Linked DNA regions of Alligator mississippiensis. The main gene of each other region encodes a partner of the protein of the gene in region 3 in a complex. Links are inferred from orthologs where the notes say so. Each region holds a gene or a part of one and is shown on either strand. Other genes may lie near its edges.

Region 1 (7,716 bases), about 28 Mb from region 3:
CCTTCCTGCAGCTGGAGCCAGAGCCACCATAGAGGAAGTGTCGGGGGAGGAACAGGGCATGGGAGGGTGAGGCAGCCCCCCCCCTCCCCCTGCCTTAGTCAGTGCCTGGGACTCATGCCCCTTTTGCCCACCCATCTTTACACTTCTGTCTTAAATGGTCACCCTGCCCTGAGGCAGGATTGAGTGTACCTGGCCCATCCATCCAGGATAGATTTTGCAGGACCTGTTTCTAAACCTCCAACAAAGTAGATTCCACCCCTCCATGGGAATCTGTGCCTGTGATTCACTACCCTTAGAGCTAAGCAACTTTCTCCTAAGAGTCAATCTAAATCTTCTTTGCTGCGGAGTAAGCTGATTTCTTCTTGTCCTTCCTCTACCAGACAAGGAGAGCAATTGATCACCATCCTCCTTATGTCAACATAGGGATGGGGCTGTTGTTATGTCTTCTCTTTTGTAGATCAACCAAGGCCAGTCCCTTCAATCTAGTCTCACAGGTCATGGCTTCCAAAATTTACATCACTCTTGTTGTTTTCCATTTTTCTTACAGCCCCAAACTGGACATAGCACACCTGCTGGTCCTCACCAACATTGAATAAGAACAACTATTTCTTGTGTCCTAAGTATAGTTCTTCTGTTAACATATCTCAGACTGGGATTTACCTTTTAAACAATATATTTAATTATTGACTTTGTTTAGTTTGTAGCCTGCTAGAAACCCCCAGATTCATTTTTCCTATACGCTACTATTCCCTGCCCTTCTAGGGAATACTTATTTCCTATTTGTGCATTTGATTTCTCCATCCTAAGCATCATATTTTGCATTTGTCTTTATTAATTCTCATCTTGCTGATTTCAGATTATCTTTCCAATCTTCTGAAGTCAGTTTGAATTCTAATCCTACCCTCCCCACCATGCAAGCCCTTCCAGCTCAATATTGTCAACAATTTTTAAGCCAACCCTATATTTCATCCTCCAAATAGTTATTGAATAGAACCAGGCCTAGGACAGGTGCCTAGAGTAACCTGTCTATGTTGCCTTCCCAGTTTGACAATAAACCACTGGAAACTAGTCTTTGAGGTAAGTTTTTTATCAACTGTATGTTCATCTAACAGTGACTCATGCAGAAGTTGTTACATGAGAAAGTCATGTAGGACAGAGCTGAAGGCCTTACAGAAGTCAAGCTGCATCTCATTCATTGCTTTCCCCTTGTTCACTAGGCCAGCTGTCCGATCAGACAAGGCAAGTTGTTCTTGACAAACCCTTGTCAGCTCTTTCTACCACCTTGCTACCCACTAGCTCTGCACCAGTTGACTGTTTAATAATTTGCTTGGGGACTGAAAACCCTCAGTTCAGTTCCTGGTCCATCAGCCAAGATGGGGACAGCTGCTCAGTTATCCTGCCCCTGCCCTCCTTATTGGTGTCGTGCTCAGGGCTTGTCTTGAGCACAAACCTGGCAGTGAACAGGGGCAAGAAGCAATGTACAGTATTAATCAGCTTCCCTGCAGATGCTGTTTTTCATGGCACTGGAGGTAGCAAGCCAGGATTATAGAGGCCCCAGTGTCTTTTCTTAGCTGGCATTAAGGTAAGATGGATGATCAGTGTCTATCCTTGGGGCATGGATAATGAGATCTGACATTTTCCTCCAGGCTTTGCAGACCAGGCCTGCAGAAAAAGAGGTGCTAACACCCCGCCTTTGTGGGGCAGGGCATGGAAAGAAAGGAGCTTTGCAACCTGTTCCCAACATTGCGAAAGCTTGAGAGAGGGCAACATAGCAATCACAGCAATCCAGCATCTCCTCTAAGCTTCAGTGCCCACAGCTCCTGGGGCATGCACACTGTAAATGATTTGCTCTGACAAACTCAGGGACAAAGCCCTGGAGTTCTAGTGCTTTGTTCCCAGCTCAGGCAAGTCAGTCAGACTCCCAGTGATGCCAAGACATTATCTCAAAATGCCCTGGCAAGGCTACAGGGTGAAGTATTAGCAATAGCAAGTCCAGGTTCCAGCTCTGCAGAAATTTGCAAAACTGCCATGAAATTACAAAGGTGGGTGCTATGGGAGCCAAGGGAACCACATAGACTCACATCACATGCTGATCTGCCCCACTATGGTCAGTGGAATAGTGTTGCTTACACCAGCTGGGGACCAAGCTGACGTATAAGCAAACAGCCCCTTCTCTGTGCTGGATCAGGGTTTCCTGGGGCCATTTGCATTGCAGCACACATGGAGAGGCAGAGCTGTACATGCTGTCTCTCGCTGATCAGGACTCTGGCTTTCACCAGCTCTGGATCTGGAGAGGAGTGAGCTCCCAGACCCACTGGGCTGGGATCTCAGGGAAGGGGTGCTGAGCGCAAAGGCCTGTGGGTGCTTAATACCTTAGTAAAATGCTGCCAGCTCTTCTTTCCTCCTGGCACTGCCCTAAGCTGGGCCATCAAGCCAATATAAGGGTCCCTCCATCAAGCATTCCCACCACGATGACAAACCATATCCAACAACCTGGGTAGGATCAGCATCACAGTCTCACTGCCTGGATGCTGGCTCAGAACCTGGGTATTGGCTGGCTTCGGATTGAGGGCTTCTGATGGATAGCTCTGGGCCAAGGGGCGGGGGCAGGTTTGAGGGGTTTGGTGCAGGATCTGGGGTGTTGGCTGAGATCAGGGAAAAGCAGGGCTCAGCCTCTAACCAAGCACATACCCAGTAGGAGCAGCTTGACTGTCCTGGCATCTTTCTCGGCATCTTCCTTGAGCTTCTTCTCTAGCTCCCGCGAGTGCTTCTCTTCTGCGCTGGCCCCAGCTCCCATCTGGTCTTCAGTATACTCCTCTTCTTGATCCAGCCACTCAGCAGCAGTAGTGTAAGCCCAGGGGGTATCCAGAGCTCTTGTCCTGTCTCCTCTGGAACCCACTACTAACTCTGGAAGGCCTCCGCTTGCTCCCTCCTGCTCCGTCGTGAACCCCAGAGAAGAATGACACTCCTCCCAATGCACAGTGCCAGCCAGTCTCCCACAAAGGAGGATTTCGAAGCCCATGGAAGTCATGTGTTCCCTGCTGCCCAATCTGTGGCAAGGACAGGTGGACAAGGAGCAGGTAAGGCCCAGGCTCCCCTCCCTCTGTTTCACTCTGATCAGACTTGCTGCGCTCAGCGACATGAGCAGCCCCATGAGCTGATGCCTTAAACCCATCTCTGAGATAAATCCCCTCAAATCCCCCTACCTGCTGAGTGCAACAATTTCCAGCCTCCATCTGCTCCCATCCAGGGATGCATCATCAACGTGTAAAAGCAGGGACTTCCTCACAGCCTGGCCCACCATCCATGCCCCAAGCTTCCTGTGAGGGGAGGTGGCCTGGGGCTGGTGCCAGAAGAGCTGAGCCCTGAGCCTACATCTCATTCTATGACCTTGGGTGAGTCACCGGAAGTCAGAATCAGTTTCTGCTGGTAATATAGGGGACTCCGTGTTAGGCACCTGACCCAAAGTCTCTGCATGTACAATGTCTTGCATCAACAAAGGCAATGTATCCCACTGTGAGCATACACAGGAACCAAGGCTTCCCAGCTTAAGGGGCTTCAGGGTACATCCAGGCTGGCCACTTTGGCATGGACAGAATCAGTGCAGGGTGCTCTTTCTTGCCTTGCAGGCCAAAGCTCCCTGGCACAGAGTTTCCTGGGGGGCAAAGGGGAGAGAGAGGGAGTGCAGTGAACTCTGAAGTCTCCTTGAACTCGCTGGGGCTTAGGGAATGGGGCAAAGCCCCAGGGAAACCTCCTTGCCCCTGTCTGCCCTTAGTCCCTGCTGTGTTCTGCCCCTAGGCTGGCAGTCCCTCAATCATACTTCCCAGTTTGCTCATTCCACGCATCTCTGTGCCCAGGCAATCCACCAGGTCCCCCAGAACCTGCATGACCTCAATGAATGGAGCTCAAGGTGGACCTGGGCCTCAGGAGAACCAGACACATCAGCACCCAGCAGCCCGACAGCACCACAGAGGACAGGCCCAGAACCAAGGCAGAGCATGCTGAAGGGGCTAGGGTACCGGGGTAGTGGCGTACGGAGGGGTTGGCTTGCAATCAACACTGAGTTGGGGCATGGATGGCAGCAGCAGAGGACAATGGGGCTCCAGGCTGGGCTCTGGACCAACAGAGGTATGTGCCTGGCTGGATTTGGGGACTCCATGAATTGTAATGGAGAGAGGGAAGAGGGATTAAGTCTTTGGTAGCCCAAGGTCAAAGGTCTGTCTGGATGTGGAATGTGTGTGGGGGAATGTACCATGGTGGGGGCTGCACTGGATATTTCAAGGAACCTTTATGCTTTTCTTAAAAGTTAAATAATTCTTGTGAAAGACTGAGACTGAGATCTGGCTGGTGCTGGACAAGCTTCCTACTTATACAGCTCTGCTGTCTCGCATCACAACCTGCAGCCCCCTGCGTCTCACCCCCAGTCAATATAATGGACCACTGTCTTGTGGCACCCTGTTCTTCCCTCCTAGGAAGTGGGAGCTGATCAACCTTTGGGGTTTTCCTGAAACCCAACTCCTGTCAAATGCATCCTGGGGGGAAGGGAGGGAGGACTCAGAGAGGTGAAAAGCTAAATGAAGCCCTTGCAACTGCTTGAAAAACAGCCCTGGGGATCATGGTTATCTGAGAAAGGAGGGAGGCGGCCGAGGCACTGGAGTGTAGGCCTGGAATAGCAAGGGGCTGAGACAAGGAGTCCAGGTGAGCTAGTGCCACGTCCCTGTCACCCACAGATGCTCCACTCTGTAAACAGTGCAGCATGGGGTGTACATGAAGGAAGAATGGCCCCGAGAGTAGGGTACTGGGAGTCTCCTGCGTACTGTAGGGAGTGGGTGTTGGGAGAAGGGCACAGGAGTGAAGACCCTTCTCAAATCCATGTGTGCAGAGCAGTCCAAAGCAGCTGGGTGGATGGACAGATGCACAGTGAGAGAGGGACTCTGCCTTGGATTGTGGGGGGAGGGGGAAGAAGGTGACACCAAAGTACTGAAGGGAAATGGGTCAGTACCAGGCCATGCAGTGAGCAATGGTGAGGCTGGAGCTTTGCCTGAGTGAAGGTGTCCCCATGCCCAGGCCAGGCATCCACTGTAACAAGATGCCAGGCTGAGCACATAGAACTCAGGACCCAGGTGGCCAAAAGTAGATTTCCCCTGAGGTCCTCACAGTGGAAAGGTTGGTGCTTATATCCTGGGGCTCCCCTATGCCTGAAAACAGTGCATCTGGGATAATCATGCATCAAGAGCCCTTTGAACTGCATTAGCCCCGTGCTATGAGCAGGCCGGGGGCAGGAGGGGTGCTAGGGGCACAGCAGCCTGGACCAGCGGTGTGTGGCTGGGGGTTGAGCTCTCTGCTGAGCAGTGCCACATTCAGCCACCAGGGGGGGCAAAATCACCACAAATCCCTCCCAGCACCTCCCAGTGCTACCAGATGAAGTGAGGCTGAGCACACCAGGCCTGCTGCATTCATGTGTGTGGAGTCCCATGTCCACCTCTCCCTGTGCACCCCGTACATGCCTCAGAGCCCTGCCATCCCTCTTCTCCCCACCCCTACCAAGCTGGCAGAGGTCTGGTCAGGGTCAGGTCTGGAATGGTCTCCCCAGAGGGCAGTGCCAGGAGTTTGCTGTGAGTGAGGCCCCTATGGCAATCGCCTTTTCCAGCCCTTATCTAGTGCAGGTGCCCTCCTTGGGATTGGGCTGTGGGGAGAAACATGGGAAGGAACTGACTCAGGACCACCTCTGTACCCCTGGAGGATGGAGGAGAGGGGAGGAGCATGCCCATCCCATCATCGCCCTGTTTTCTCTCTGCAGAGATCCCAGTCCTCAGTCTGGGCATGCCTCCTTGGAGGGTCCTGACTCTGGGCAAGGGCATTGCCACCACAGGCTGCTCCTCCAAACTGTGAGGCACCCATGGGTGTGGGTGACTGCTGAGTTCAGCTAGAGACTGTGCTGGGACATGACACCCCTGATGGTGCCAGAGCCAGGGTTTCCTGCAGCAGGTCAGACTAGGGAGGAGTCCTGTCCCCTGGATCCCCCATTTCCATCCAGGGCCTGGTGCCCTCTTACTCTTGTGGAGGAGAGTGGGGTATCACACGGGGTTTGGTTGCGCTCAGTGCAAACACCGTCCTCTACAGTACTCAGTCTCTTTAGCCAGGATCACATGCAGCTGTAAAAGGAAGGAACCATTGTTTTCTTTTTAATCTTTTAAACCTTTTTTCTGAGCTTTTAAAAATTATATTTTTTTATTTTTCACAATTAAAAAACCCTGACACTTTTACTGAGAAAAGCCCGATCCCCTAAGTAAGCCAAACCAGTACTTCAAGAGGACAACGCTCCAGGATGTCAATTGATAAAATACTCCAAGAACCAAAAATCTAGCCAGAATTTGCTGTTTTGAGGCAGGACTCTCTCCTGTATTTACATGGCACCTCATCTCTTTCAAAGCACTGTGCCATCTAATCCCAATTCATGTAGGAAAGCAGGTCATCTGTATGCCTTAATTAACTTTTCCTCTGAATTTTCTGGATTTGCAGTTTTGGAAATCATTACGACATTCCTGCAGTGTTTTTACTTACATCTTCCTGAGATGAGCTCTCAACCCTAACTCCAGCCTAAGGTAGGCCATGGAATTGGAAATGAAGCTGCATTTAATAGCAATACACTGCCAGAGTTACTGATTAAGCAAGCACTGCTGATGGTTAACCTTGAAATAAAATGTGAAAAAGAGGCTTTGCCTGGATGCATAATAAAAAAACAGTCATTTCCTGATGTTTAGTTTCAGAAAATTTGTTTAAATAAAATGAAGCATGATGTCAAAAGTCTCACTTGTGATCCACCAGGGAAGATTGGCTTTCCCTGCCTGGGCTCAGGGTGTGGCAACTTCAGAAGTGAGAGAGCAACACAAGGGGAAGAGATGGACATAAAGCCTTGGGAAGGATTACCAGCCAACTCTGTTTGTCCTTGGGATGACAGAGGGGAGAGCAGGCCATCAGGCTCCATTCTGAGGAGGCAGCAGGGTGCTTGGCCTTGTACGGATCAACTCCCCATGGCTGCTTCAGATAGGAAGACGCATCTCTAAAGTGTGCACTGTGAACCCAGGAAAGAATTGGGTGAACCTGCTGCTGGGGGGCTGTGCTTCCAGCCTCATGGAGCTGCATCTGTTGGGATCAGAAGGCTCCAGGGGGACAAATGGCAGCGACCAGCCTCTTGCAGGGACTGAGGATGTCAGACTCTGACAGCCAGACCCTGCCAGATTGTCGCCAGGGATCTGTGTCGGTGGACCATGCCCTGCCCCTGCTTGGTGCCCTGCTCACCCCTAGGTGTTGTCACCATTTGCAGAAACGATTCCCAGACAAGCCTTTTCTGCCATTGGCATGCAACAGCCCTGGGCTCCATTGGCTGAGATTACACGTACTTGTGCAAGAAGTGCAGAGGGGTGGGAATGGATCCCTGCATGTGTTTTAGAGTGACTTGTTTATATGGAAAACTGGTCACTGCTTCATGGGCTTCTGGGTTTGGTGTCCATCAGACTTCAGATAAAGACCCCCGATTTACAGAATCAGAATAATAGAAAAGTGGGACTAGAAGGGCTCTCAGAAGATCATCTAGTCCAGGCCCCTGCTCAAGGCAGGATCATCCCTATCCAAACCATCCCATATAAGTGCTTGCTTAACCAGTTCCTCAAACTCCAAGAACAATGTTGCACAACTGCAAGGACACCAAGAAGA
Region 2 (7,483 bases), on a different chromosome or scaffold from region 3:
GAGTGCAGACCCAGAAGATTTAGGAGAAAACAAAAAACCCCACAAAAATAGCCAAAAGTTAAAATACCTTCCAATGTCTCAAATGTCACAGCAACTGCCAGAAGAAAACATTACACAAGGAATAAGATGAGAACTCCTAACACTGAACAAAAGGTATTTTCCAGGCAGACAGTTCCTACTTATCCTTGTGTGTTGGAGCAAACCACTAGCTTCCAGGTGAGAACTGAGCGCAATTTGTAGTCGATTTGGAGATGTTTCCAGCTCTTAATGTCCAAGATTTCATAAACTAATCCCACTCAAGGAGTAAATAATGTACCTAGATTAAGATCCACTTGGAAACTGGCTAGGTCAGCAGTGTTGGGTATTACTTAAGGGAGCACAGGCCTGATGAACGGGTCTACAATGTCATTGCCAGACTCATAGCTGTATAAGGACAACACAAAGACTTACAGAAAACAGGAGGGTTATTGCTTTGCTCTAAAGCTCTGTCTCCATCTTCTATCTACTGTAGTTACAAATCATACAGCTAATAAGAAGCTAAACATTAAGCATCTCACTAATGGCTCTTTATCTGTCAGCATTAGAACAAGACTTTATAAATACTACATAGTCTAGACTCTAAGGGTTGCAAACACATCATAGTTATTTTCACAAGCTTTAAGTTCACCTATTGTTGCTCCACCAGCATTCCCCTGACATGTTATGCACATAATATAGATTGCCAGCATACTGTTTGTTGTTCCAATTAGCTTATAAAGGAGAAGTGACAGTTATCCATGTTTAAAAAATTAGAATCAAGAGGAGCAAAGAAATTTGATCAATTTAGCTTCTTTTTGCTCATGAATACTCTGAAAGGAGTTTGCTTTGCTTTGATTGCAATTTGATTTTGTCCACAAAACAAGGAGGGTAATTTTTGGTGAGTAAACTATTCAAAAGCAGCTGTATTCACCAGCTCACTTTGGGCTGTTTGATTAGAAACAGATCGCATAGTACTGCTTCTGTTCCCTCCTTGAATAGACTCTCTTGAGAGTGTGTTTGATGGAGCCCTGAAGGCAAACCCAGCTTACTTTTGGGAACAGTCACCCAATATTTACTTGAAGTCAGCACAGCAAATTTTAATGCATTTCTGAAGTGGCCAAGGAATTTGCATAGGACAGTAGTTCTCAACCTTTTTATGGTCAAGGCACCCCTTGGAAAATACCAGCTTTCATTTTTTAACTACAAACCCAACACAAAACCGTAAAGAAATTCTTTTGCAAAAAACTCAGAAAGACCACAACAGGTCTGAATGCTTTTGACACTCTGGGTTCCTATTCAAAATAACTTTCCTCCTCCTTGTGAATCCAGTTTGCACACTTAACGCTAAGAACAAGTGGCACCCTGGCACACATTTGTAAGGATCTCAAGTCAAACAAGGGTGCCACAGTACCTTGACAGTCACTAATATAAGGCTTGTGCTCCTAAAGCATTAAGCAGACAAGATTATTTGCGTAAATCCGGTATCTTTTATTAGACCAACTAAAGTAGTTGGAAAGAATTGGCTGTAGCCTTGCCAGCCTAAAGCATTAAGACACTTCTGAAATCCCTCGTTGGCTAGAATATTTTGGAAGAAGCAAATATGTACCCACAGGCAAAGAAATCTCCAGTCCTGCTGTACAGAAGACATGAGATGTACTGTGACTGCTCCGCCATGCAACATTGTCACAGCACAAGCTGGGGGGCAAAAGGAAGAAAGGCCATTTCTCTTGACAGCTCATTTGGCTGGTCATGATTGGATTCCCTTACCTGTTCCACAAGACTAGAATTCTTTGGCTTATGTCTTGCAAAGCTGCAGTCGTTAGAAGGTTAATGGTAATTTACTGTCAAATGTTAATTTGATAAGGATCATTCAATAGCTGTTGTTGGAGAGGAGGAGGGCAGGCAGTACTGGGGAAGAAAGACATTAGTCAGCCTTTTAGGATGGACAGCTCTCTGACTTCCTTTGTGCTTCTGCTGGCTGCTTTGCAAAGCCCCAAGGCTGATCAGGGCCTCTAGCCACCGCTTCACTGAAGTACTTTAAGGGCATATATAAGAGTTAATTTTCTCCATATTGCTCAGTCCAAACCCAAAGTCTGAATGGAGACAGGAGAGATCAACTCCAGAGATACCACGTCCCCCCAGCTTCACCTGGAACTAGATGCCTGCTTACTCCCAAAGGGGCGTTGTGGCATTCTACCATTTGGTTATTAGTTTCCACAGTCTAAGGCAGGACATGGCTCTTGCCAGAGCAGTAAGACATTGCTAAACCAAGTGGTAGTGATCAGCCTCCAGGAAAAAAAAAAAAAGCCGACAGGAAAACAATGTTCAAATCCCAGAAGAAATGCCAGATATGGATTACAGGCTTCCCTGGGTTTTCATAGAGCCTCTCTTCAAAGGTGCAGGTTAGTTCCGGGTGGACAGTGTACACTAGTCTACAGTCAGAATCCTCAGTGCAGAGGCAGAGCAGGCATTTTTCCACAGCACGTGCCACCTTAATTCAATTTCCTTCTGCATTGCCCTGCAGCTGACTGCAGGCGGTTACTGCAGGACGCCATGGCACTCAGCCAACCCTTCTCAGCATAAGGGCAGAGCCACAGTGACCTTGTCAGGTTCTTCCCTACTTGCCAAAGAGAGTGATAAAAACATGGTTACCTGCGGTACAGACTAATCTCCCTACTAGGTGACAGCACAAGCCAGTTTCCCACCAAGGCTCTACGAACCTTTTAAATCAAAGCTCCAAGTGCCTCCCTTTCACACTTACTTCTACTGAAGACTGCATTTTATACTTTGAGACACCAGGCACTACGGTAATGGGACATACAGGCTTGAAAAGGTATTCTTCCATGTTTTAGGCAGTTCCCTTTTATATGCATGTTTGCAGCCTACTTTTTCTTTCCATCCAAAAGGTCGTCCGTCCGTGTCCCCCCCCCCGCATAGTAGGGGTGGGCAAAATATAGCCAGTGGGCCGCATCCGGCCCACGAGGCCATTTTATCTAGCCCATGGGGCCCCTAAAAAAATTTAGAAAATTAGTATCTATCTGCCCTTGGTTCCTGTAAAAAATGACAAGAATCAAGGGCAGAAGGACCCAGGGGAAGCCTGGTGAGCTCCCACAACAGTAGGGCCCCCCTGCCCTGGCCCCCCCAGCAGGGGCTTCTGGCCTGGGAGCATGTGGCTGCCCCCTGCCAGAACTGCAGGCAAGGGGGAAGGTGGGGGGAGGGCAGGGGAAGGCCCAGGGGAGGGAAGGAGCCTGGGGAAAAGCGGGGGACGGGGGGGAGTGGCCCCTTGCCTGCCCTGTGCCCAGCGCCCCATGTTGTAGCCGCTCACAGCCCACATGGGGCTGCCTGTGCCTGCTCCAGACAGCTCCGCACGGGCTACAAGCAGCTGCAGCAGGGAGCACTAGCCACAGGGCGGGCAAGGGGCCACTTTCCACCCGCCACACTCAGCTTTTCCCCAGGCTCCTTCCCTGCTCCTTCCCAGGGTGAAGGAAAGCGGCCCCTATCCCACCCCATGGCTGGCGCTCCCTGCTGCAGCTGCTCGCAGCCCATGCAGCGCTGTCTGGAGCAGGCACAGGCAGACCCAGGTGGGCCGTGAGCAGCTGCAGTGTGGGGCACCAGGCACAGGGCGGACGAGGGGCCTCCTTTCCCCCCCACGCTCAGCACCAGCTTGTAATCCGGCTCCACTGCCAGCCTGGGCCCCGCACCCGCTCTGGGCTTGCCCATTGGGGCTGTGCATGGCAACAGTAACTAAAGAACCCCCACTTGGCAGTGGCAAACACAGCCCAGCACAGCACCTCTGGGCTGCCCAGCACACCACCTCTGGGCTGCCCAGCACACAAACTCTGGGTGGGCAACAGCAGCAACCAACGCTGCCCGGTGTGGCAAGTGGGGGGGCCGCACCTGCTGCCACCGCACGCAGCCCCAACCGGTGAGCCTGGAGCTCGCGCAGAGCCCAGGCTGGCAGTGGGGCTGGGTTACAAGCTGGTACTGAGCACAGGGAAAGTGACCTCTCGCATGCCCCATGCCTGGGGCCCCGCACTGTAGCCGCTTGCAACCCATGTGGGGCTGCCTGTGCCTGCTCCAGACAGCCCCGCATGGGCTGCGAACGCCAGCAGCAGGGAGCACAGGCCATGGGGCAGGGTCACTTTTCCTCATGCTCAGCACATTTCTTCCCTGCCGGTCAGCAGGGGGTTGAGGATGTGCGCTGCCTGTACTGTAGGGCTGGGGGGCACTGGGAGTGAGCAGGTACAGGAGCCAGCAGGAGCACGGGATCTGCACCAGTGTCCCGGGGCTGGGGCCAGTGCCGATGGATCCCAGCTGGCAGGGGCTCTATAGAGCCGGGCCAGCTCCCCACTCTCCCTGCTAGTGCAGCCCAGCCCAGACCCACAGAACCCTGCCAGCCTCTGCCCCGGTGCTGACCCTGAGACATTGGTCCCAAGATGGTGACCGGGGGGGCAGGGCATCTGTCAAGGGGCAGGGCTACCCATGTGGCCCTTGACAGCCTGCCAAAACTGGGTAAGCAGCCCTCCCCCCAAAATAATTGTCTGTCCCTGCCTTATAGCCTTTTCTAGATGCAGACCTATCCAATTCCTAGAGAGAAAAAAGCACAGCAAAATTTCAAAAGATCAAAAGAATTCCAAGAAGCTACAGCCATCTTCTCAGGACAAAATAAAAAGAACATGGATCCTTTTCAATCTGAAGTTATGTTTTATACGGAAGCAGAGCAGACTCCATTCCTTTGTTCAACACCATCATAAGAGAATTTTTCAAAGGATCTTCCTAAAGTGGCAAGTTTGGTTTCCCTACTTCTAAATTACTTGAAAGTACTGTCAATCATGAAATAGCTGCACCCTTGAAAAAAGCAGGTCATGACCTCATTCCCTTACCAGTGTCACCAAACTAGAATTCTTTGGCTTATGTCTTGCAAGACTGCAGTTGTTAGAAAGTTAATCAAGTTCACTCCATCTTGGAAGAGGTACAACCTGAACTAGTTAGACAGACGTTACACTTGATAAGTGTATGAGTGGAACTGGTGGTTATCTTTGTTGCATAAACAATGCTTAAAAATTATAATATTGACCTACCTTTTACCCCTTGTTTTGGAATGTTCAATGTTATTTGGCTAAGAAGCATTCAACAAACAGAAGTCTCCTGCATCAAAACATTCAATCCAAATTGTTGTTTATGTTGTAGAAAAAAATTATCAACATCTTAAGCCATCCTGATCCTCTCCATCGCAACCTGCACAGTTCTTATTATGGCAGAGTTAATCCCCGGTAATATTTAATCTCACCGACTCATCACTTAGAATGATCCGTTTATCTGCAATCCTCTTGAGGTCAGCTGGGCATAGGACAGGGGCCTTTGTAGAGGTAGTGTAATAACACACTTCTCTGAAGAAAGTTTCTGGGAGCGGATAGAGTATGATTCCTTCTCAAAGTGGTTCCTTCACATTTTAGAGCAATTGGTCCCCATAGCTGACAGCAGAACTGCAGTTTGTTTGTCATCCTCTTCCATTATTTGAAAAACAAAAACCATTAACTGACTTTGCTTTCACCTCTCACCAACACAGGAGAAGATTGGCTAAGAAAATATCTTAATTTTACACAGGAGAGCTGAGAGACTCCTTACCAGCTAAGAACTGCCTGCCCAGAGTTTTCCACCTATTGACTCCTCTGAAATATGAACTTCCATTTCTAGCCAGGAGAACTTTTACAATCTTTTCTCCAATGCCTGATGAAGTGCACTTGTGCCTGAAAGCTTGCAATTAAAGAATTTTTTTGCAAAAATCTTGTTGGCCTAATAAAAGATATCACCTCTACAATGAGCCCCAATTAATTTTACAAGATACAGGTGCAAGAGGACTTAGATGGTTAGGTTTCATTACTCCCAAGTTGGCCCTAGGTTTATCTTACTGTTTAGTGTACAGGCATGGGCAAAACCCTGCCTGCTGAGGGATTTTCTCCAGCCCACAGCAGGTCCTTCTGTTCTGCCCTGCCCAGGCACGGAGGGCAACGCAGGCTGTGGTGTGTGCAGCCAGTCCTGCTGCCCCTGGGCATGCAGTGGGGCTGGGGTGGTGTGGCAGCCCGACTCCAATTCCTGGCAGCCCCAGTGCCAGCTCTTTCTGGCTGCTGCAGCTGTCAACCCTAGTCCCCACTGCCTGGACATCCTAGCCCATCTGCCCCACCACCAGGCAGGGTGCACAGCTGGGTGGCTGGGATGGAGCCACAGCCTGGTAGGGAGCAGTGTCTAGGAGCTAGATGGGCAGGCAAGACTAGGTGGGCAGGCAGGAGACCCTGGGATTTTGGGGTGGTGACAGTGCAGACAGGGCTGGGGAAGAGCTGTGAAACATTCCGAGCACATCCCTGTCTGCAGAACTGGGGCTCTGCCCTGGCCCTATGCTGTCATCACCCCATGATCCCAGCCCTGGATGCAGCTCCCCATGTGCCCGGCTATGCACCCTGCCCATGTGGCTCCTACCCAGTCTCAATAGAGACTGCAGGACCGCAGGGCAGTGACAGCATGGGATTAGGGCAGAGCCCCAGTTCTGCAAGCAGGGAGGTGCTGGGAGTGCACTGCAGCTCTGCCCGACCTGGTCCTGATGTCATAACCCCATGATCCTGGGGTCTCAGTGCAGACCAGTTAGGAGCCATAGGGGCAGAGCACAAGGCCACACTGATGGGAAGCTGCGTCTGGGGTTGGGTTCTTGGAGCAGTGACCGTGTGGGGCCGGGGCAGAGCTGCAATCCACTCCCTGCACATCCCTACCCGTGGAACCCACGCCTATTGCAGGGCCGTGCAGGCAGTGGATCACAGCTCTGCATCATGCTATCACCCCCCCATGACTCTGCCACATGATCCCAGCTTTGCTCACCTGTCCCACTCCCAAACACCACTGTCCACGGGCCTGCAGCCCGCATAAAGTTTTGTTGAGGTGTTGTGTGAGGAGTAAGGGGGGGGAGGGGGTGGTGGTGCTGACGTGGCCTGTGACAGCTCAGCAAAAAACTGTCTACGTAGCCCATGGGCCGAAGTAATTGCCCATCCCTGGAACACAGTTTTTATACCACCATTTTTTGGTCTGTATTATGAAACTGAGAGGCAAGACAGCAGTTAAAACAGCAAGGGAGAAACAGACCATCTCCTGTGATGTATTCCTGGGTGAACAGGGACAATCCATATTCCTGAATTCAGTAATCTCTCCCTCACATCAAAGTATGTACACTAACCTTCCAAGATTCAAAGATAGGTCACACTGTAAAAAAAAAAAAAAAAAAAAAAAAAAGTACAAACAATGAGGAAGCCGCTTCTTTTGCTATAGTCTCAAAACAGTATTTCTGATAAAAGACCATATAGATTTGGCTATAAGGACTAATACCCCTTGGACACATACCTGTCAAGTACAGGCCACAATCCACTAATCAGTACCCCTTTCTCTCTCATGCGCACTTGTGCATGCATACACACACACA
Region 3 (7,378 bases):
TGATGGCAAAGTAGGGAAGTTGATTTAAGTGTCACTGGCAGAGGTAAGACTTTATATGTGATGGACTGATGGTTCATCCAATGTGCCAAATCTTATCTTCTGTACATGTCTCATTCCTTAAAACTAGCTACAACTCTGATTCAGGATTATCCTAACTTTCCTACTGGAGCCACTGTGGCTGAGAGCAGAACAGAGGCCTAGATACTTAGTTAAATCTTAAGTAGTTGGATCATTTCAAGCAGACCGGCTTGACAGCTTCCACATCTGTGTAATACCAAAGGATAGTGAGATAATTAATAGAGTCATCCCTGTGTATTATAGGAACACATTTGACTTTAAAAGTTCCTTTCATGCCACATTAACCTTTAAATCTATGAGCAAGGTTCAAGCTTTTAAGAAATGAAATACATTGAAGAAAAAACTGCACTTGTTAATTACCTGTTTGTTCATGACAATGTAGATCACTGGGTTGTAGATGGCAGAGCTCTTGGCAAAGAATGCCGGGATGGTCATGAAGACGGGACCAAAGTCAGATCCCTGATTGGAAAAGATGTAGAAAGCAACACTGGCATAGGGGACCCAGCATATCAGGAAAGAAACGACCATGATGATGACCATGCGGGTAACTTCTTTCTCGGCTTTCTGGGTAGTAGCTGATTCCTGCTGCTGGGCTGCAGCCTAAGGCAAAAGAACAAAGAAATTATGATGGTTCCATGGGAAAGTGTTGGGGAAAAAAAGGCTGGAACGGCATCTCCTCCCACAACAGGGATGGAGCCAGCTGCGGAGTTCCAAGCTGCATCTGAGCTTTCCAAAAATTTGGCATTAGCATTCACACGCAGGTTTTGATGGCAGTCCGTCACCAGCAGGTCAACCTACCTCTTTCACAGTGCAGACCAGGCGTCCATAGCAGAAGAAAATGACAGCCAGTGGAATGGCGAAGTGAACTACGAACATGTAGATCACAAAGGACTCATTGTTGACCTCAGGCTTCAGGGTGTAGTAATCAACCCCGCATGAGCACTGCATGCCCTCTGGGATGTACCTGCCATTAAACCGATGAGATTAGTACCTGGCATTGCACTGGTGCCACTGGGGAATCAGGCTTTGCAATTTTAGAATGGAAAAATGCTGTCCTAGATGATGCCTTATTTCAGAAAATGTATAATATGCCTACCTGGACCATCCGACCAGTGGGGGAGCAGCACAAGTCAGGGCCATGATCCAGGTGAAAACGACACCCATAATGGCATGGTTCTCACCAAATCGGAAATTGCTCATGGGCTTGCAGACCACTATATATCTTTCAATGGCCAGGACTACCAAGCACCACAGAGCCACTTCACCTGTGTAGGAGACACACACACACATATTCATATACTGCTTGCAACAGAAGAAAAACGTGTTGTCCTGTATATGAAAGCTTCTTGGATAACGGATTCCAAACAAGTCTCTGAATGATCAAAGAATGCAAGTAAGATTTGAATGTGAAAAAAAAATCTGAATTAAAGCATGGGAAGGAAGGCACAAATGGCTGACTAACCCATTGTACACTCATTTTGCTGCAGTATTTTGAGTTCCACTGGAATGCCCTATCTTATGTTTGAGTCCAACCTGTCCTCCCCACACTTGTTTTGCTACTTATTAACTCCATGCGCCTGATTGTGCTAGGGAATGCACACTGAATTGACCACTCATTGGTTTCTGCCCTCTGCCCAGCATATCTCAGGTTTGGGAACAACATTAGTAGGATATTTCAAAGCTCACAGTAAAGTGGAAATTGGGTCTACATCCTTCTTACCTTCCACCCAGTGGTAAACAAAGGTAGAGAGGTTGTTGTCAAGATGTTGGGAGGTTTTTTGTGTTTCAGTATACATTTTAGAACTCATCTACCTTAGAAGACTCTCTGGTAACCAAAGAACTAGTTAGATGGTGACCTGAGCAGACTTATCTGCCTGAAGGATGAACTGGATGCAGAAAAGAAAGGGTTTTAGGCCTACCATTTCCTGTAAACAGCTATTTCAATCAGTTGACACATGGGGGAGAAGATTACTTTTAAAGGGTAAGTAAGTCTATTCCTTCAATTTAAGTATGGGGATCTACAGTAAAGTACCTTGGGACCTTTCTGAAATTCTTCCAGCAAAACCAGGGAAGACCAGGCTTGCCATTTCCAAGGTTAAAAGTCAGCATAAAACCACTTTTGGAATACTGTTCCAGGTCACGTTTCAATACCACAGTCCAGTTTCAACCATTTTCAGCCACTGGGTTTTCCCCAAAGCAGTAAAGGAAGATGGCAAACATCATGTGTTCTTTGTCCTCCCACACTTCTCTTGTCTGAAATATAACTTTTCTACAACACTGAAAGCCAAACATACAGCCTGAAAATATAAATTCCAAGTGCCTCCAGGTCTTGGTGATGCATTGAAAGCCATTTTTTGCTGCCTTCCCGTCTTCCCCCCTGCCCCTCCACCTGGCCCTGGCTTCCCCTTCCTACAGCTCAAGGGAACTCTGACAGAACATATTTGGCTATTTACTCAGTTAGTGAACTTACCACCAAGAGTAGCAAAGAAGCCTTCAAAGTAGCAACCTGTTACCCCAAAGACAAAGTACCCATTCATTGATGTGTACAGGGTAGTGGTGAAGCCTCCCAGGACCATGAAGAGATCAGCAACTGCCAGGTTCAAAAGGATGTAGTTTAGAGGCGAACGGAGCTTCTTGTGTTGGACGGTGACATACAGAGTCAGGAAGTTGATAGGGAAGCCAAGAATAATCAGCATAAACATGTAAGCGGCCAGCGCGGAGTATTTCCATGGTTCAGCCAGGTAGTATTGCGGATACTCAAATGGACTCCGTACTACCCCAGTCTTGTTGGAAAAGGGGATATAGAAATCTGGACCTTCTGTTCCATTCATGGCTGCGGCTTCCGAGGTGTTATGGTCTTACAAATATTTTTTGCTTTCTTTCAAGATCTCCTCTTCCTGCTCTCCTCTTATCTCTGCTTCTTCCTCAAACTTGCAGAAGTTGGCAACACTGTTGTCAGTGCAGCGCCCTTTATGAAGTACCACCTTGGGTAAGCTTTCAACATTGGTGTCAGCACGATTAGGACTTACAGCATTATTAATCATAATAATCCAAGCTAGGATTGCAAGTGGTAATTGGCTTTCCCAAGAAGGTTTAAGGTGACACCTGTTTCTGCGCTGTGCAGTGGTTACCTGGGAACATTGAACTCCTTATGTATAATATGCAGCTATTGTGTATACCATAGATGTGGAGCCAGCAAGGAAGCATAACCTCATTAGTTTTGTTCCTTATTTTGCAGCCTTACATAATTCACTTAGCGATAAATTTTCAGAACTGACCTCCAAGTTTGGGGCTCTGGTTTTGGTGCCCCATTTGAGAGATGAAGGGCTGACCACCACAGATCATGCTGCCTTCCCTTGCGCTGGTAGGTACTCAGCACTGCTGACAACCAGATCCCAAGTGCCTCAAGCTGGGCACTCAGAAAAGTAAGCTACCCCACAAAGACTCCAGTATCAGGAGCTGCTGCAGGCCTGTTTCACTGCCTGTGCAATAGGGATAACACTTCTCTATTCCACAGGGATATTTTGAAGTTGAATTCTTTAATGGTTGTAAAGCAGCCTCAGAACTATAGGTAGAAGGACAAAGTATAGGTGTGTCTATGTGGTGGCTTAATTTTTTTTGAATATATTGTCCAGTATCTGAATTGTAGCTTCTCAAAGACAGGTGACAGGGATGAGTTGTGAGCCCACATCTGGGAACAGGAGCTCCTTTCTGTCCCCTTGCTTTAAGGAATGTGTTACTATAATCTAACACCTCAGCATTGTATGCAGCAGGTTGAGGGAACTGGTATGGAGAATTGCAGCCTTTGGACTCTGGGTCATATACTGTAGGTTGGCCCAAGACCATTGTTACAATCTGAAGCTGGCCTGGGTTACATGCGAAACAAACAGGTGGTCCCACCAGTTGCCACCACAATTGGTAAACCAGGTGGAGCCTGAGCAGGACAGAGGTCAAGGACTGAATGAGTTCTGTAAAGACTTCTGCCACAGTGCTACCAGCTCTTGCTCACAACTGCCACAGACCTTTTTTGCCCTAGTATGTACCTGTGAAAGATACATTAACCCTGCTTCTCCTGTTGGGTCATCCTCTCTGCTCATCTATTTGCCATCTGTACTGTGTTAACCATAACATCAACAGCCAACAAAGAGTCATGCTCATCTTCTCCCCTGAGATGTGCTCCCTCATACTGTTCAACACTGATGGGTACATTGGACAAGGCTGATACTAGGGTTGTGTTTAATCTGCAAGAAGACTGGAGCCTTAAAACTCTCAGGTTATCACTCTGGAACTTGTCCGAAGCATCCAGTTCAACTTATTAAATGGATAAGACAGGTATAGCTACAGGTGAAATGGCTGTTTGAAACTCCCACAGGCTCTGAACTTCTTTGTGTCCTCATCATCACTTAAGTCATTGTTTGGAACGAAGATCACTGGCCAGTAGCTTGCAAGAAAATAGGACAGCAGGTATAATGGAATGAAAATACTGAAATCAGTAGCAGACTATCCTGTGGAGAAGGCAATTTTCTTAAAAAATGATACACCAGCCCTAGTCTTTTAAACCCTAAAGATTTTTTCCCCCTTTGCCCTTTTATTACATCTTGTGTTACTAGTTAAGAACTTTAAGGTATGTAAGGGCTGAGCAAGTCTGAACTTATTCTCACATCTCCCCTGGGAGCTGGGATAGTAATCGACACCATTTTGAAGTGAAGGTTGAGAAGAGGTATGACTACTTCAAGGTCTTGCAGTTGGTTGTCAGGTACAGCCAGAACACCAGGCAGTGCCTGTCCAGCTCTAGGCAGTATCTAGTCTGTTTGCTCCATACCACGCTGCTTTTGGGCTGGGTTACCATAGTATAGGCAGTCCAGTTAAGAAAAATGGACATAGTTATATGACAGCTGCAGCCACCCCATTCTTTTATTGGGATTCGGCTGAAACTTTACATAGGAGCATACAGAAGACAAGTCTTCAGCAAAGAACAACCCTGGAACACGTCAGTCTGAGAGATGAATGCTTCATAAGGTTTTAAGTGCTTGAAGACAGGATTTTATCACAAGAACCGCTGTGGCTGACAAGAATACGGGAAGACTGAGCCATTTATATATAATAGAGCACTTGAAAAAGTAGGACAATAGGCACTTTGAACATTTGTACAGATGAAGAGACTATTAGTTTTAAACACACATTTTTATACAGTATGGTAACCTGAATAAAGACACCATGGTTCTTGCTAGCACACTACCCACATCAAAACTCCAGCTTAATTAACTTTTCACACGTGTTCCCAAGGCTACTTTCCAGCTGCACTGCAGTCATCTAATTGCAAATGTAGCTGTTAGCACATATATCCAGGCATACAGTAGGCTTAAAGGTTTATCTTCCGGATACACAAATGTGTCACATTAAGCTTTGATGCAATAAGCCATTGCTGAGGTAGCAACTGTTGTTCAGAGCTTAGCGCTTGAAGTGCATCACAGGTAGCAAGTTTCAGTGGAAGAGGCAAGCAATAGGGTAAAGGAAGTATGGGACAAACTTCAAGATGTGGTTTATGCTGTTATCCACACCATAGTGGATGGCAGAAGGCAAAGCAGCAAATGTCATCTATGGTGGCAGTCTTTAAGCTTCACCAGACACCTCCAAAAGTACCCTCTTACCATGAAGTTATGTAAGAACAGCCTCAATGTCAAAGGATAGTTTGAAATGATCAAAATCTTTAAAAAATTCACCAGATATTATTACAAACCCAAGGTCACATCTTGGTGTATTTTTATATAGCATCTTTCTCCCCTGTGGATCCAAAGGAAAGGAGTTCAGGATCCTGAGGAAAGGAAGGATGGAGAGCAGCAGAGTAAGGACCCTGGACTTCAGAAAAGCAGAATTTGACTCACTCAGGGAACTCATGGGCAGGATCCCCTGGGAAGCCGGTCTGATGGGGAGAGGAGTCCAGGAGAGCTGGCTGTACTTCAAAGAAGCCTTACTGAGAGTGCAGGAACAAACCATCCCAGTGCAAAGCAAGACAAGCAAGGATGGAGAAGACCAGCTTGGCTTAGCAGGGAACTCTTCAGTAAACTAAATCACAAAAAGGAAGCTTGGACAAATAACTAGGGAAGAATATAAGAGCATTGCTTGGGCATGCAGGGATGAAGTCAGGAAGGCCAAAGCACACTTGGAGAAGGGTAACAAGAAGGGTTTCTACAAGTATGTCAGTAGCAAGAGGAGGATTAGAGAAAGTGCAAGTCCCTTATTGAATGGGGCAGGCAACCTTGTGACAGAGGATGCAGAAAAGGCTGAAGTGCTCAATGCCTTTTTTTGCCCCAATCTTCACAGGCAAGGTCAGCTCCCAGACTACTGCACCGGGCAGCACAGTTTGGGGAGGAGGTGAGCAGCCCTCAGTGGTCAAAGAACAGGTTAGGGACTACTTAGAAAATCTGGACGTGTACAAATTCATGGGGCTGGCTGGGATGCACCCGAGGGTGCTGAGGGAGTTGGCTGATGTGATTCCAGAGCCATGGGCCATAGTCTTTGAAAACTCATGGCAATCAGGAGAGGTCCTGGATGATTGGAAAAGGGCAAACAATAGTGCCCATATTTAAGAAAGGAAAAAAGGAGGATCCAGGGAACTACAGAGCAGTCAGCCTCACCTTAGCCCATGGAAAAATCATGGATCAGATCCTCAAGGAATCCATTTCTAAGCACTTGGAGGAGAAAAAGGTTAGGTTAGATTAGGAACAGTCAACATGGATTCACCGGGACAAGCCATGCCTGACCAACCTGATTGCCTTCTATGATGAGATGACTGGCTCCATGGATGCGGGGAGACCGTCAGATGTGGTGTACCTTGATTTTAGCAAGGCTTTTGATACGGTCTCCCACAACATTCTTGCAAGCAAGCTAAGGAAGTCTGGGCTGGATGAATGAGCTGTAAGGTGGATAGAAAACTGGCTGGAGCATCAGGCTCATAGGGTAGTAATCAATGGATCGATGTCTAGGTGGCAGCCGGTATCAAGTGGAGTACCCCAGGGGATGGTCCTGGGCCCGGTTTTGTTTGGCGTCTTCATCAACAACCTCGAAGATGGCATAGAGAGCACCCTCAGCAAGTTTACAGATGACACCAAGCTGCAGGGTGCTCTCTATGCCATCTTCGAGGTTGTTGGACTAGGATACACTAGAGGGTAGGACTAGGATTCAGAGTGACCTAGACAAATTGGAAGATTGGACCAAAAGAAATCTCATGCGGTTCAACAAGAACAAGCAGAAAGTCCTGCACTTGGGATGGAACAATCTCATGTACCAATACAGGCTG
Region 4 (7,341 bases), on a different chromosome or scaffold from region 3:
TACCTGCGGCTTACATTTTAAGTAGTGACATGAGAGTTTGGGTGTCCAGTTTGAGACGCCTTACTAAGCATCTCAAACTGGATGCTTTAGCACATTTAGCAGATGGTTGCTCAGCATTTTCCGGAAAGTAGTCCTGCTTGAGGTGTCTCAGTATGGGCACCCAAATCACTAGTCACTCTTGAAAATTTAAATCCAGGGTTCTTGGGAGATGAGAGCCTTCTGGAAATGCTTGACAGACCTTATTCTCTTGCTTTTCAGCTTCTATCTAAATCCTTGCCCTCTCTAGGGAATAGACTATTGTCTGATGTAAGTGGCTATGTTCCAACTTCCCAGAGAGCTGGAAGTGGCTGGTAAACCAGTGTCCATGTGTGGGGTGATATTTCTGCACAGTGAACGGGTTTCAAGACATGGCAAGTTCTTTAAGCTTGTTTGTGATTGTCTAAATGGAAACTGAGCTTTCCCACTTTTGAGGCTTGCCCATTATTACTGCGTTGTTAGTGCTGATTGTTTCTGCAGTGTCAAGGGTGCACATTGCACTTGATGTATAAACACATAGAAAGTCCTCACCTTGTCAAGTATGAGAGCTAGATGTTATGTAACAGAACAAAGTATAGCTCTGGATTATGCTTTCAACATGTTCATGGGGAGACTAATTATCATTCTGGAGTTTAACCTTAACTGATAACTGCAAGTGTTATCTATGGGCGTGCCTGGGTGAGAGGTAGGGGATGGGACCACTTTTTCTGGACAGGATTCTGTTTTAAAAATAACTTTATGCTTCTGTCCATTAGAAGACTTATGTAAATTGGGAAACTATAGTTTTCTTTACCCCAGTACTTGTTCCATGAAAAGGATGTAATCAGCATTTCTGTTGACACTGGCACAGAACATGGAAGTAAAATAACGTGAACAAATTTGGCCTTTTTATTATTGTCCCTGCTTTCCATCTAGACTGAAATTGTTGGGGCTGGACAGTCTCTAGCTTTGCCAACATTTCTGGTTGATCATCAAGAAAGAGCCATACATTGTATCCTTGTACATCTTGAGAGCTCAGGGTGGCTTTGCGGTTCTGGGCCTGGGGCAGCTCTCTCTACTAGACCCAGCACACAACGGTGTCTTAATAGCTTCTTATATTGTTTTAAAAAGGACCAGTTAAATTGTCCAATACTTTCACATGGATTTTAGTAGATGGCTGACAACTCATAATGCATATTGTAAGAGTTCTACAAGAGAAAATTTGCCTGGATATTTTCTTTTGAAAAACTCTGTCTTTACCTTAGGGAAGGTAAACAAAATAATGGACGGTTTAAAGAAAGTTGTTCAGTCACTGTCATTTTCCTACCCCTGGTATGGAAGAACAAAGAGACCTTCAATGACATTGGAAAACAGAAATTGAAATTTGAAAAAAAAGAAATTCTTTTCCATATAGCATACAACTGACCTGCAGGACGTGTTGCCCAGTATGTCCCCAGGGATAGTTAAAAAGGTTGTAAAAAGGACTGAACAGTAGACAAAACACCCACATGGTGATAATAAATACTAAAAGACCAAGATTTTTGGATGGGTTATATACTTTGTCTTTAAATAATAAAGTTTTAGGGAGAAAATTTCCTCAGAGGCAGTTTACTCAACAAGTGCCTTCTACTGGGTTACTCATATTTCCTCTCAAACTCACAGTAATGCATAGAAATAGAATCAGAAACAGGATAGTGGACTAAATGGACTATGTTTTAATTCACTACAGAAAATCCTGTATCTGTCTCTCTGTCTGTATTTTGACCACATTAGGATTTGTATCTAGAATAGTCATGTATAGAGAGTAAGAGAGAGAGACACACACACATTTAAGTTAAAATCTCTTTCAGCCTTTGGGGTTTTGGCAAAATACAACATTTTCTATATATATATATATTTTAAAAAGGTCTTTCAAACAGCTTTAATTTTTCCAAGTAGCTTGTGTGGCTGTAGCACAAATGATCTTTTTATTCCCCGCAGGGCTGAAGATGCCATGCAGAATGTTCAAGACAGAAACTAAACTGCTCCTTGCTGCTGAAGGTAACTGGGTGGTTTTGCTAATTCTAGATTTATTTTTTTAATAATGATAGTTAGACTCTCATCTGATATAAATAATTTAGGCTAAAACTATAGTCAGAGGATCTCTGCTGAGTTATCTTAGCTGAGGATCTGCCAGATATTTATATTATGGGGCCCATTTCAAGGCCTTTGTAAGTATTTAATAAAAGCAGCTATAACAAAAAAATATGAACGTTGGCTCACAACCGGTATTCTGATACACTCAAGCAAACACATGTTTAGTGATGCAAAATATTGAACTATTAGATATGAATAAGAATAATGTTCAGAAATATATAGAAGTGCATATCATACTAATGGGGACTTAGTAAATTGAAAGCTTTTTCATATATAGCCCCAATATTCATTGCTTGGGTTATTGTCTCCTGCTACAGTCATTCCCTGCTTCTTAACAATCAATGTGAAGTTCACAATCACTAATAAAAATTAATGATAATTTCATTAGCTGATGGCATGTCATTTCTGTATTTTAAATCAATCGCCTCCTTAAATCTATGTGTAAGTGTTGTATTTACTGCACCTTTACCCTTTGCTTTCTGCACTATCCCCTGCATTAAAAAAAAAGAGTTTGCTCTTTATAATTGTTCTGACAGGAGTGATCATTCCTCGAATTCTTCCTTTATGCTGGGGATTTAAGATACTTAAAATGGAATAGATTCAGTATAATAAACCTGTTCAGTCAAGTGTCTAGTATCACTGAAGGATCAGAAAGCATGTTTGCATTTATCCCTTTACAGTACTGTTTACTTTAAAATAAAATCATAGAGTAATATACTTTTGTTTTACCTAACAAAAGAAGCTTGACAGTCCTGGCATCCCGCTCTGCATCTTGCTGGAGTTTCTTCTCCAATTCCTTTGATCTTTTGGCTGACTCTTTACTCTCTGAGCTGGCACCACTACCCATGGCGTGGGGTTACAGAGTCAGTGTATATCTAAGTAGAAAAAACGCTTTAGTTCAAACTCTTCAACAGCAATGCTTTAATGAAGTCTGAAATGTCCCATTCAGCCTCCTCTCTATAGATACAAATTAAGTAGTTGCTTTTCCCCTGTCACATGACTTGAAGATGCTACTGACAGGAATTTATACTGGGACACAGAATTACAGCCATATGATGTCAGAAAATGTAAATGTCCCATTCAGCTATTACACCCATGGAAAAGCATGATAGAAGAGCATGAGCATTTCCATACCAAATTGAACCAAGAGCCATCTAGTTCAGCATCCTGTCCTTAATGAGATGGGAAAGTGAAAGAAACCCTAACGTACCCGATTTTAGGATAACACTGTTTAGGGGGAATGAATTTTTCACCCCAGGAATTAATCTTTGGCTTATGTCCTGAAGCAAAATGTTCCTTCCAAACATTTGGGAACATTTATTTATTTTTAATCTTTCTAAACATTCCCTTTATCCACAAAGAAATGTGCAGCTTCATAGCTACTTGTTTATGCTGATTTTAACATTAATAAATTGGGATGCCACAATGCTTTCTAGTTTCACACTATAATGATACTATAAGGACAGAACAAGGAGCAATGGTCTCAAGTTGCAGCAAGGGAAGTTTAGGTTGGATATTAGTAAAAACATTTTCACTAGGGGGGTGGTGAAGCACTAGAAAGGGCTACCCAGAGAGGTGGTGGACTCTCCATCCTTGGAGGTTTTTAAGGCTGGTCCTGCTTTGATCAGCGGGTTGAATTAGGTCCCTTCCAAACCTAATTTTTTATGATTCTGTGATGCCGTGCCTTATGTTTCCTTCAATAATATTTAGGTTTTATTCCAGTTTGCAACTTCTCTAAGATGCCCACTTGTGCATAGTCACCTAATGGTGAAAGCTATGGTATCTTTGCCATTTTGGGTCACCCTAGAAATTGCTATTGAATGTGATGCATATAACTTTTAGCCAAAAATATCACTCCCCTTTTTCTGGAAGAAAGGACTTCTTTAAAGGCATGAGGCCAGATTCTCTCCTTTGGGTCCAACACAAAGGAGTTGCAAAGTTGGCATTTTCTCCTGGCTTGAAGCCAGCTGCTATGATCTCCTCTTTAGTCAATGCTGCGTTATAATGATTGTCAGGCCTTGGAGGCCTGGAAACAGCTCCTTTTCAGTCCTGTTTCTCCAGGTACAAACTGCATCCGGTTGGAGAATTCAGCTGAAATGATGCCTAGATCTTACTCATTTCTTACTTCAAAGGCTGATATTCTGGTCCTGTTGGAATCAGTGCAAATTTGTTGCTGACTTCAGCAAAACACTGATTTTACCTTACAGAAAAATTGCTTGTGTGTTTGAGTAAATACGTGCTCTGATACTACAGTGATAAGATTTGAAAATCAAGGGATTATTGCAAGATGCATACATATACTAGCAGGTATGCTGGTTTGGCTCCTTCAGTGTATCCCTTCTGCTCAGTGCATCAGGAAAACTAGATTTCCTATGTCTCCTGGAGGGCTGGAAGCAGTTGCTAAGTGTCAACAGCTGAGGTTTTGCATATTTATTTACACAGCAAGAAAAACTGTTGTGCTCAGTCTACATTCCTGTTTTGCTTATTCTTTAAAATGACAGGTAACAAGATCTCTGTGCATCTGCACTCATGCATAAATCTTTCCATTTGTTTTAGAAATTAACATTGCAATGGCACAAGTGCGGTCCTGGTGCCAGGCATTTCTTTGTTAGAATTTGGGCCCATCCTGGAGTAAAATGCTTCAATAAACTTCAGGGTGATTAGAACATATATATATATATATATATATATATATATATATATATATATATATATATATAAAATCTACACACATCTATAGCAATTATAATCTATATTGAGTTCCCACTTTTCTCATTGATCAGGAGTCTAGAGCAGGGCTTCTCAACCTTTTTCTTCCTGAGGCCCCACTAGCATGCTATACAAAGGGCCTCCTGGATGGTAAAAGGGGCACAGTACTGAAGTAGAAGCAGGAACCATATTGGGGTCATAATGATCAGACGTCCTCCAATGGCCTTTGTAAAATATGGCGAACTTCCTGGTGCTGCACAAGTACCCATGGTTCCACTTGCTATATATTCTCAGCAGTCATATCAGCCATCTCCTCTTCTGAAGCAGCACTCAGCTTCTGCCTCAGAAGTGAGGTATGATCTTAGTTCATTTGTCCTTAGGACAGGATGATGCATGATAGGGCTGTGCAAAGCTTCAGGTGCTGATTTGATTTGGAGGAGATTAGGCCCGATTCGGTGGCTAACTCTCCAAATCTGAATTGAATTGGGGGACCAGTTCAAAAGTCTGAAATGATTTGAAGCTCTCCGTATCAATTTGGAAAAGATTCGGAGAGCTTCGACAATTCAGGCAGTTCCCACCTGCTGCAGCAGGGAGCTGGACCCAGACTTGGATCTGGTAAGTAGGGAGCAGGGGAGGGGACCATGGGGGGACAACTGCCAGGCCCCATCCTCTGCCTTATCCCCTGCCCCCCCCATTCCCCCAGCCCCACCCCCCCATGGCTGCCCTACCTGCCCCAGCTCCTGGCCCTTCAAAAAAAGCCCCAACTCACTGGGTGCTGGCTGGTGAGGGGGGAGCGGCAATCCCTACTGCCTCCCACTGCCCCACTCCATGTGGAGGGGCTCTGCCACAAGCCCCTTGACCCCCCCATTCCCTGAGACCCCTCATGGCTGCCCCACCTACCCCAGCTTCGGCCCTTTAAGAAAAAACCCAACCCCCCCCACACTCGCTGGCTCCTGCAGCAGTCTTGGGACTTTGGGAGGCTCATGCAGACTTTGGGAGTCTCATGCTCAGGGCAGTGGGGATTGCCCCCACCCACCCAGCAGAAATGGTGAGTCAGGGCTTGTTTTGTTTCTTTTTTTTCTTAAAGGGCCGGAGCTGGGGTGGGCAGGGCAGCTGTGGTGGGGGGGAGGCTGGGAGAGTGGGAGGGGACTGGGGGGCTTGTGGCAGAGCCCCACACACAGCGTGAGGTAGTAGGGGGCAGCGGGGATCACCCCCCCTGCGGGGCAGCATCAAGTGAGTTGGGGGCTTTTTTTTTTTTTAAGTGCCAGGAGTGGGGGCAGGCAGGACAAACATTGCTGGGCTGGGAAAGTGGACGGAGGATGGGCCTGGCTGATTTGCAAACCTCCAAATCAGATTTGGCTGAATCAATTTGGGACAGTGATTCGAATCACCAACATGAATCACTGTACCCCAAATCGGCCAAATCCGAAGTGACTGTTAGCCTCTTCGCACAGGCCTAATGCATGATATCATTTGTAGATATAGAAGGCCCTAGTTCCAACACCTCCTTCTTCACAAATGCACTGGTAACTTTTCTGGTCACCCTATACTAGTAAGGATGGCAACCATCTTCAGGTCCCCACTGAGGATACTGAAGGAACCAAGTCATTCAACACTAAAGTCTTGATAGAGGCTTGGCCTAGTCTCTAAACTACGTGATAATGGACCCAGGCAGACTATGCTACTGTTTAACTCCAAGCCATGGCAGCCCTCTCCTCATGTTTGGCAAAGTGAAACGACAGGTTCTACACAAAGGGCCAGAGTATTTCTTTATATATCCATACCCATCTTCTCACATAGTGATATCAGCAAAGGAGGAAGAACATCAGTTTTCCAATACATAGGAAATGCAAAAGACTGGATTTGTTGGAATATATGCAAATATTTTGATGTCTTTGGTGACGGATCTGACCCAATTCATATAATTCCAGTGTCAATTGCACCTCTTTTCAGGAAGTGCTAGGTCTATCAGGTATGTGAGGCCCCCTACAATTGATCAGTTAATCTTGGACACAGTCTCAATTGGTTATACCATCCAGTTCATCTGAAAGTCTATTTCCAAATCCTGTTCCTGTGCCTCTTTTCATGAGATCAATAAAAACCTTTAAAATCCTTATTTCAACATCAGAGAAAAGGGTTGAAGGGATTTTTTTTTTCATAAAGCCAAAGTTAGACGCGGGAGCGGCGAGAGACGCGCGGGTGAAAGCTCGCTGCACCCCCGCTCCCCCGAAGCCCCCCAGAAACCCTCCAGCAGCCGTGGAGCCCCCCGCTGACCCCCAGCGCAGCCGGGGTAAGCGGGGCCCGTGGAGAGAAGGGGCTAACCCCCTTAGTGTGTGTGTGGGAGGCGGCAGCTGAGTGGAGCCGGGCCGGGTCAAGCCCTGCCCAGGCCCCTACTTCACCCAGCCCCCCAGGGAGCCACGCAACAGGAACCACGCGAACAGGCTGCACAAACAGGAGCGCTTCTCTGCCGGCGCGTGAGTT

The links.
Region 1: the proteins of RHO (region 3) and GNAT1 are in contact, whole or in part, in a cryo-EM structure (PDB 6OYA), measured with the Bos taurus proteins. The link is inferred for Alligator mississippiensis from reciprocal best matches to the Homo sapiens genes RHO and GNAT1. Residues at the interface, in NP_001014890.1 of Bos taurus: Leu72, Arg135, Val138, Val139, Lys141, Ser144, Asn145, Phe146, Arg147, Val230, Ala233, Gln236, Gln237, Ser240, Thr242, Thr243, Lys245, Ala246, Glu249, Val250, Met253, Met257, Asn310, Lys311, Gln312; in NP_851365.1 of Bos taurus: Ala27, Arg28, Asp189, Leu190, Val312, Glu314, Tyr316, Asp333, Ala334, Asp337, Ile340, Lys341, Asn343, Leu344, Lys345, Asp346, Cys347, Gly348, Leu349, Phe350.
Region 2: the proteins of RHO (region 3) and SAG are in contact, whole or in part, in a crystal structure (PDB 4PXF), measured with the Bos taurus proteins. The link is inferred for Alligator mississippiensis from reciprocal best matches to the Homo sapiens genes RHO and SAG. Residues at the interface, in NP_001014890.1 of Bos taurus: Arg135, Val138, Val139, Lys141, Leu226, Glu249, Val250, Met253, Met309, Asn310, Lys311, Gln312; in XP_010802144.1 of Bos taurus: Asp71, Ile72, Met75, Gly76, Leu77.
Region 4: the proteins of RHO (region 3) and GNAT3 are in contact, whole or in part, in a crystal structure (PDB 4A4M), measured with the Bos taurus proteins. The link is inferred for Alligator mississippiensis from reciprocal best matches to the Homo sapiens genes RHO and GNAT3. Residues at the interface, in NP_001014890.1 of Bos taurus: Leu72, Arg135, Val138, Val139, Lys141, Thr229, Val230, Ala233, Thr242, Thr243, Lys245, Ala246, Glu249, Val250, Asn310, Lys311, Gln312; in NP_001103452.1 of Bos taurus: Ile344, Asn347, Leu348, Lys349, Asp350, Cys351, Gly352, Leu353, Phe354.

What each region holds. Positions count from the first base shown.
Region 1 is NC_081835.1:43,088,275-43,095,990, reverse strand, and holds the start of GNAT1 (guanine nucleotide-binding protein G(t) subunit alpha-1), read right to left. Parts: upstream 3,014-7,716; 5' UTR 2,798-3,013; coding exon 2,692-2,797; intron 1-2,691. UniProt on the Homo sapiens protein: Functions as a signal transducer for the rod photoreceptor RHO. Required for normal RHO-mediated light perception by the retina.
Region 2 is NC_081830.1:38,994,732-39,002,214, reverse strand, and holds the start of SAG (S-arrestin), read right to left. Parts: upstream 3,013-7,483; 5' UTR 68-3,012; intron 1-67. UniProt on the Homo sapiens protein: Binds to photoactivated, phosphorylated RHO and terminates RHO signaling via G-proteins by competing with G-proteins for the same binding site on RHO. May play a role in preventing light-dependent degeneration of retinal photoreceptor cells.
Region 3 is NC_081835.1:15,128,814-15,136,191, reverse strand, and holds the start of RHO (rhodopsin), read right to left. Parts: upstream 3,026-7,378; 5' UTR 2,910-3,025; coding exon 2,549-2,909; intron 1,344-2,548; coding exon 1,175-1,343; intron 1,043-1,174; coding exon 877-1,042; intron 679-876; coding exon 439-678; intron 1-438. UniProt on the Homo sapiens protein: Photoreceptor required for image-forming vision at low light intensity. Required for photoreceptor cell viability after birth.
Region 4 is NC_081827.1:21,306,744-21,314,084, reverse strand, and holds the start of GNAT3 (guanine nucleotide-binding protein G(t) subunit alpha-3), read right to left. Parts: upstream 3,014-7,341; 5' UTR 2,999-3,013; coding exon 2,881-2,998; intron 1-2,880. UniProt on the Homo sapiens protein: Guanine nucleotide-binding protein (G protein) alpha subunit playing a prominent role in bitter and sweet taste transduction as well as in umami (monosodium glutamate, monopotassium glutamate, and inosine monophosphate) taste transduction.